2 linked regions of the Cricetulus griseus genome follow. The protein of the gene in region 1 binds, or shares a complex with, the protein of each later gene. Links are inferred from orthologs where the notes say so. Each region holds a gene or a part of one and is shown on either strand. Other genes may lie near its edges.

The links.
Region 2: the proteins of Pth1r (region 1) and Pth are in contact, whole or in part, in a cryo-EM structure (PDB 9JR3), measured with the Homo sapiens proteins. The link is inferred for Cricetulus griseus from reciprocal best matches to the Homo sapiens genes PTH1R and PTH. Residues at the interface, in NP_000307.1 of Homo sapiens: Val31, Met32, Thr33, Lys34, Glu35, Gln37, Ile38, Leu41, Glu111, Trp112, Asp113, His114, Ile115, Ile135, Tyr136, Asp137, Phe138, Arg146, Arg162, Thr163, Ala165, Tyr167, Val171, Leu174, Thr175, Glu177, Glu180, Arg181, Phe184, Leu187; in NP_000306.1 of Homo sapiens: Ser32, Val33, Ser34, Glu35, Ile36, Gln37, Leu38, Met39, His40, Asn41, Leu42, Gly43, Lys44, His45, Leu46, Asn47, Glu50, Arg51, Val52, Glu53, Trp54, Leu55, Arg56, Lys58, Leu59, Asp61, Val62, His63, Asn64, Phe65.

What each region holds. Positions count from the first base shown.
Region 1 is NC_048597.1:218,233,647-218,237,560, forward strand, and holds the start of Pth1r (parathyroid hormone/parathyroid hormone-related peptide receptor), read right to left. Parts: upstream 2,782-3,914; coding exon 2,707-2,781; intron 2,537-2,706; exon of another isoform or gene 2,307-2,536; intron 1-2,306.
Region 2 is NC_048596.1:87,293,329-87,297,242, reverse strand, and holds the start of Pth (parathyroid hormone), read right to left. Parts: upstream 2,637-3,914; coding exon 2,550-2,636; intron 2,028-2,549; coding exon 2,027-2,027; intron 381-2,026; coding exon 290-380; intron 178-289; coding exon 1-177. UniProt on the Homo sapiens protein: Parathyroid hormone elevates calcium level by dissolving the salts in bone and preventing their renal excretion. Acts by binding to its receptor, PTH1R, activating G protein-coupled receptor signaling.

The sequences.
Region 1 (3,914 bases):
GAACTGGCAAGATGACTTAGCAGGTAAAGTGCTGAAACCTAAGTTCAATACCTGGAATCTACACAGTGGAAGGAGAGAACTGACTCCAGCAAGCACTTGTAAACACGCACACACACGCACGCACGCACGCACACGCGCGCGCGCGCGCGCGCACACACACTCTAAATGTTAAAAAATTCTGAGCTGCCCCCCTGGGCTGGTTGGAAGAGGTTGCCTGCACAACCTGCCCAAGAGACTACAGTTCTCTGTGGAGCCCTCCTATCCAAGGGTCATACCCCACACCCAGGCCTGCTTCCCTGCTGACCGTCACATTCATGTGAGCTGAGGGTTCTCTAGGGTGTTCTTAGGGTAAGAAATCGCAAAGGATAAGAGCCTCCTTTTGCCTGTTCATCTGCTGTGAGCCTATCCCCTCCTTTAAACTTCACTCCTTCAATGCTCATCTCTGGTCTACTCTTCTTTGTGGGGCACAGATGAACCAGCCCAGTCCAGCTGTGGTCATTGTTCTCCCAGTGGGACGCTCTTTGGGACCTCAACCAAGGTCACCAGAGAAGTGAGCCTGGCTTGGATCTAGCTGAGTAGGTAAGTCTGTAGGTTTGGTGACAGCTGAGGTGGATGGGCTTTGTCCACACCTGTACACATCTGGACACAGAAGCAGCTCCCAGGCTTAGAGGAGAGAATGGGCAGGCTGCCAGGTGTTTGCTGACTCCAGCTAAGCCCAGGGATCCCACAGAGTGGTGGGTGGGTGGGTTGGCCAAACCTGTCCCCTGGACTACACCCCTTAGACCTGAAGCAGGAGATGGTCCAGTGCACTGATATGTCCCAGCAAGGACCCTGCAGAGCCACACAGGCATCTGCCCTTCTGCTTTCAGTTAGAGCTTTGAGGAGTTCTAGGGGCTCTGTACCGCCACACACAGTGAGGCACAGGGCCTGGAACCTGGTTAACATAAGATAGATAATGCTCACAGGGGACTGGATGAGTTAATAAAAAATAGGGAAAATACCTTTCTCAGAGGGTGGCTGGTAGGATTAAACTAGCTGATCTGCGCAAAGTGTATAGAACAATGGACTGGCAAACAAAAAACACAAAAGCATTTGTTGAGTACAAGTAAAGAAAGGCCTGTGTGCACACACTCACACTCATATATGCGCACGCGTACATACGCAAACAACTGTGCTTTTGCCCTCAGAGTCCTGTGCAGATCCACAGTTCCAGGCACATATGGACTTGAATACCCACAATCCCACAGACCGACCCAGATGCCCACAAAGCCCTACTCGGATGGCCATACAGGCACACACTCAGGACACCTTATCCATCAGCCAGTCTACACCATGCACACGTATGTGTACACACACAGAAGTCACCAAGGGAAATTCAGCAAACAGCTCTGCTGCCCGTGCTTGGAGCATCTTCCGGAACAGCAAAGCTGGGCCCTCTGAACTTGTTTCCCTGTGTACAAGTTCCTTTCTGGGGTAGTCTTTGGTTTTGGAAATCCATTACTGGACTAGAATTGGGAGGGTATGGGCCCTGATAATAGAGTGCCGGGGACCACAGAAGGAGAACATCAAATACAAGGATGTTAGGAAACGTCTCTCATGCTCTCTTCACAGATGGGCAACTGAGGTGTGGGGAAAGGCAGTCCAAGGTCACTAAGCTGTAGGCTGAGCTGGAGGGGTCCCAGAGCTCTTGTGTCCTCGGATTCAAGGCTCTGTTCTGTGGAGGAAGCTGCTTGCCCTGTCTTTCTAGAGCTGGATCAGGGTTGGGGTAAGGGGGCAACAAGACCTTAAAGTCAGGCACAAAAGCTGATTCAGGAATGGGCTGGATACTTTGGTAGGACTGCTGCGAATATGAGAGGATGGAAAATCTCCCCTCTCAGAGAAATGGCTCCCAGACCCTAGCCCAAGACGGGTCATGATCTCCCTCAGTGTCTCCAGCCCTCATCTATTTGTCTTTGCTGTTCTGAGTCTGTCCCTGCTGGAGTCGAGAGCTCTCATCCTTACCCTTTGTCTGTCTCTCTCTAGCCCTCTTTTCTATCTCTTGGTCTCCATTCCGAGGCCATGCACAGTATCCCCAAAGATCAGCCCACTCTCCAGCACGTATCTCACAGGTGTACTGGGGGGGAGGTCTTTCAGGGGACTTCCATACCACACCACACCCACCTCCCTGGGCAAACGACTTCTACTTGGGGTAAAGCTGTCCCATTAGCGCATAATCTGTCTATTTGTGGGATCCCCAGAGTTGGAGGGGGTTCTAAACCCTATCCTCAGTCTATGTGATTTTTCTGACTTCTTGCACACAGCTTTGAGCACGGGGTGCAAACAAAACTTGCGAAAGCAGAGGCCCCCAACGCAGTCTGTGGGACTCCACACCCAGAGCCCTCTGGATCACACTGTCACCATCGAAAGAGATACATACGACCAGAGCCGTGTGCTCACAGAAGCACGGCGTAGGGAAACTCCAACCACAGATTTCCAGACCCAGGACCCCAAGCCAAGTCTTCAGAAGCGGGGAAACTTCAGACATCTGGAACCTACGGTAAGACACCCCAACGAGAGCAGGCACCAGGATTCCTGGTTCAGAGCAGGGGCAGCATCCCAAAGTTCAGACTATTAGGAGAACCCACGACTTTGCGCCTACACTCTCCCCAGGGATCCCAGAGCAACTCCAGGATTCCTGTGTTTGAGTGTAGACCGAGAGGGACTTACCAGCGCATATGCGGAGCTGAGCACTGGGCAGCAGAGCAGGAGCGCCAGGCCGGGTGCGATCCGGGCGGCCCCCATCGCCACCGCCTAGGGCCGCGTCCCTCGGGGCAGCCGCCGCCGGCCCTGGTGATGGTTGGAAGGTGCAGAGCTGTGTCAGGCCGGGCCGCCCCGCCCACACCCCGTCCTAGGGGACCCCGGCGTCCGGGCGGCCCGAGGCCCCGGAGCCCGGTGCGGGGCCCATACGCCGAGGGCGAGCGAGAGAACCAACCGGCGCAATGGAGAGAGGGAGGGCGGAGGGAGGGAGGCAGCCTAAGGCCGGGCGGGCGGCGGGCGGGCGCCGAGCGCTGCTGAGCGGCCTGTCTGCCTCGGAGCGGAGAAATCACATCCATATGGCTGGGCCCCCCGCCCCCGGCCCGCCCCCCGCTCCCCTCCCGCGCCGCCTTTTCTTTCTTTCTCTCTGTCTTTTTCCCCCCTCTTTTGGGGAACTGGGAGCCGTGGCTTCGCTCCACGCCCAGTGGGAGGGGCGGGGGAGGGGTCGGGGTCGCGGTCTGCGGGGGGCGACCAGGCTGTTATTTTTAGCTCCGCGGCAGTGGGCAACAGGGGAGCTGGGGCGGGGCGGGGCAGGGGGCGCGTTCTGAGTTGCGCGGGGCGTGCAACTCCGGGATGCCATCCCGACTTTTGCAACGGCGCTGAGCCCTTCGGTGTTCCTGTCCCCAGCTCGGGGCTCCCCGGCGGCACTGCGGCCCGGCTCCCCAGCCCGGTCTGGACCCCCCCAGGCCCTGGGCAGGCACCTCCTGCCTGCGCCCCAAGTCCCGTCCTCCGAACCCGCGCCGCGTGCGCCCGAGCGGCACGAGCGCTTGCTCTGCGGCCCCGACGTGGGGGCAGCCTGTCTGCTTGTCCGTCCGTCTCTGGCTAGCGCCCCCCGCCCCCGACACCCCCCTCCTCCCCGGCCTTGGCCTCTGCCGTTCCAGCCGCCCCAAGCTCGGTTTCGGTCACTCCCTCGCTTCCCCCTCCCCTCCTCTACGAAAACATTTGCGAGTTTCCAAAAAAGCCACCGACTGAGCGGCCGCGGGCTCCGAGGAGGCGCCGCAGACTGACACCGAGACCGAGCGGCCGGGCCGGGCCCGCCCTGGCCGGGCCCCGAGTCCCTGCGGCCCGTCCGGCGCCCCCACGCGCCCGACCCCCCCAAACCCCGACTTACTCGGAGCACG
Region 2 (3,914 bases), on another chromosome or scaffold:
TTTTCCTCCTTCTTGGTGGGCCTCTGGTAACTACTGTCTCGGGCAGCCATTTGAACTCCAAGGCTAACAAAATTGTGTACATCTTGCAGCTTCTTTCTCAGCCATTGCATCCTCTCCATAGAGGCCAGGTGTTTGCCCAGGTTGTGCATAAGTTGTATTTCACTGACAGCTCTCTTCCTAGAAAGAGCAGAAAGAAAGAGCCATTAGTTCCCCATGTCCCCGTCCTAAAACCCTACTACAAAACCTCAGGTCCACATCTTCCCAGTGCAGAGTGGGCTGAAGCACTTACTTAATAGGTTTCCCATCTGTTTGGGTAAGAAGACAAAGTGCCAGCATGATGATCGTTACTTTAGCCATGGCTTTTGCAGACATCATCTTTACTGAAAGGAGAAACAACATTGAGATGGTTTAAAATACCGTCAGTGTGCTAAAGTCCTAGTAGTTGTTCTTTATAACCACCTAAGCAATCAGCAGTTAGCTGACATCACACTGATCAATTGAGCTGTTTTTCCTGAGTCTTTGGAATAAGCCTCTTCATATGATGGATACATTAGTAATATAACATGCACACATAACTTAGGGAAATTGGATACATGATTTTCTTAGGTAGCTTTCTGAATTTCTTGTTCAAATTTTAATATGAAATTTAAAACACATGATGAATAAAGAGCATTTTTATGATTTCTTCCTATTATTTATGTTGGCTATGCCTAAGTGGTTTTGTTTTGTTTTGTTTTGTTTGGTTTTTCGAGACAGGGTTTTTCTGTGTAGCTTTGGAGCCTATCCTGGCACTTGCTCTGGAGACCAGGCTGGCCTTGAACTCACAGAGATCTGCCTACCTCTGCCTCCCAAGTGCTGGGATTAAAAGCGTGCACCACCAACGCCTGGCCTAAGTGTTTATAATAGGCCTGAAATTCATTAATCTACTAATTAGGTAAATTATCACTATTTAGTGATCAGACACTGTTTTCATAATCAAGATTATGAAAATTATTTTCAGATGCTATCATAATAACCATAAATTTGTAGAGTTTTATTTTTACTTTTGAGATAAAATCTTGCTATGTAGCTCAGGCTAGCCTTCAAATTATGATCTTCCTGCTTGGTCTCTGGCACATTAGGGTTTCAGGCATTCACCATCATGTCTAACTATAAGGTTTAATTTTGATATCTTTATTGTGTTAATAATGTACATACTTCTCACAATGAAAAAAAAACATGTGTCATGCTCAATTAGTAAAGTTCTTGCTGTACAAGCATGAACCTGAGTTCAGACCCAGCACCCATATAAAATTTTTGGGTACAGCAGCACTGTACCTGGAACCTTAGCATTGGGAAAGTCTTAAAAAAAATAGGTGGAAAATGATAGAGGAAGATATCCAACATTGGCCTCTGGCCTTCACATGCACATACATATTCACACCTGTGTGATTACACACGCGTGCGCACACGCACACACACACACACACACACACACACACACACACACACACACACACAGAAAGTATGTGTCAAGGCATTTAAAAACCAATTAATTTCTTACATATTGTTCTTGGAGCTTTGACCCTTAATAAAATGACTGTCTGCATCTTATAGCTTCAACTTAGCAGTTATGGTTTAGTATAACTTCTAGTTCTAAAGTAGCATAAGAGACCTTACAGTCTGCAACATTTCTCCTCCCTGTGCACTGCACAGCTATCAGTGGAATAATAAAGGAAAATCGGGGCTCAGTCACAAGCACTGTAGCTGGTGAACAGGAGCATGGGTGTCTGGTCACATCAGTTCAGGCGACCTAGTGATATCTCTGCTTCATTTCTTGTTCTTTTGAGGAAGATGGACTTCTTATATAGGGATGCCATGAAAAGAGCTTAAATCACCATAAAGCATCCTTAAATGTCTACACAAAGATTAGAAAATGCTGTTCTTTGTGTAAAAGGAATGACTATTCAACAGTGAAAAGAATGCAACCTTAGTAAAAGGCTAAGCTCCTTAGAATCCATGAAATTTAAAATATAGATACGTATACCCTACAGGAAAATAATATACTCCACATGGTAAATTATTGTTGACTTTTTACATCAGAATTATTGTCTCTCCACCAGCCGGTTTTTTATTCCAAATTTTTGAATCATAATAAGGAGATCACTAAAGAGTATCATCAATTTTCTGTACTTTCAGGTGGTTTAAAAAAAAAGGTATTCAAAGAAGTTTTCATCATAAAAATATAGGATTCATGACTTTCTTACCATAAAAAATATATTTTATTGCTACATTTTATATTTAGCAAAATTAACCTCCCCTTAACATTTTACAATGGAAAATAACATAATATTGGTAGAAAATGGTATGCATTAAAACCTTGTTCAATTATCAAAATCTCACAGAATCTGGAAGGCCAATTGAGAGACTCCTTACCATACAAAGACTTCAGAGAGGATCCTTTAGGAGTGCCACCAACTGGTGCTGTATTAAGCTGGAGAGAATGAGACAGCGGATGAACTGGACTGCAGCTCCTCAGATCTGCATTTCTTATGTAGGCTTTTGCTCACCAAGAGGAGCATTTTATTGTTAAATATGATGTCACTCCCAGTTCTTTGGATCTCAACCATAGGACCAGAGCAGCCACATACCCTCATTGGGCGGTGCCTACTCCTCTAAAGTTTCAGATAATTAGATAATAGAAGATAAAGAGCAAGGTGCTGAATAAAGAACCTACAAAGGGAGTTGCTGCAAATACCGATCACACCACCTAGAAAATTCTGACATAATTGATGATATTGAATATATATATATATATTAAATGTTTGAGACAGAGTCTCATGAATGTAATCCTGGCTGGCCTGAAATACCTTGCCTCTGCTTCATGAGTACTGGGATTAAAGACATTTGCCACCAGGCCTTTCAAATATTTATGATAAAGTTATTCCAGTATTTAAAAATACAGCCTAAACTGTATTTGTTATTTGTTATAGCACATTATAAATAAATACACTTATTTCCTTAAGAAATCATATAGCATGCTTTTTACAAGCCATTTCCAACCAATTCATATCATCTTTGATCAGCTTTCCAAAAATATTTTTATGTATATTTGATATATATATAAGGGAGATGAATTGATGGTTCATTGAACAAGTACAAGTGGGAGGACCTGAGTTCAGTTCTCAGAACCCATAGAAAAGCCAGCCACTGGTAGTGTAGGTACTAAGATCAATAATTAATAAATGGGACTCCAGGAAACTGAAAAGCTTCTGCAAGGCAAAGGACACCACCAATAGGACAAAAGAGCAGCCTACAGAATAGGAAAAGATTTTTATTACTCTGTGTGTGATAGAGGGCTAATATCCAAAATATATAAAGAACTCAAGAAACTAAACATCAATAAACAAAATAATCCAATTAAATGGGGTACGTATCTAAACAGAATTCTCAATAGAGAAATCTCAAATGGCTGAGAAACACGTAAAGAAATGTTTCAACACCCTTAGCCATAAGAAAATGCAAATCAAAACTACTTTGAGATTCTATTTTACACCTGTCAGAAACACAAGTGACAGCATATGCTGGTGAGGATGTGGTGCAAGGATATCACTCCTCCCCTGCTGGTGGGAGTGCAAACTTATAAAGCCACTTTGGAAATCAATATAGCAGTTTCTCAGAAAATTGGGAATTGATCTATCACAAGACCCAGCTATACCACTCTTGGGCATATGCCCAAAAGATGTTCTGTCCTACTACAAAGACACTTGTTCAACTATGTTCATAACACTGTTATTCATAGTAGCCGGAAACTGGAAACCCAGATGTTCTTCAACCAAAGAATGGATAAATAAAATGTGATACATATACACAATGGAGTATTAAATAGCTGTTTAAAATGTGGCATCATGAAATTTTCAGGTAAATGAATGGAA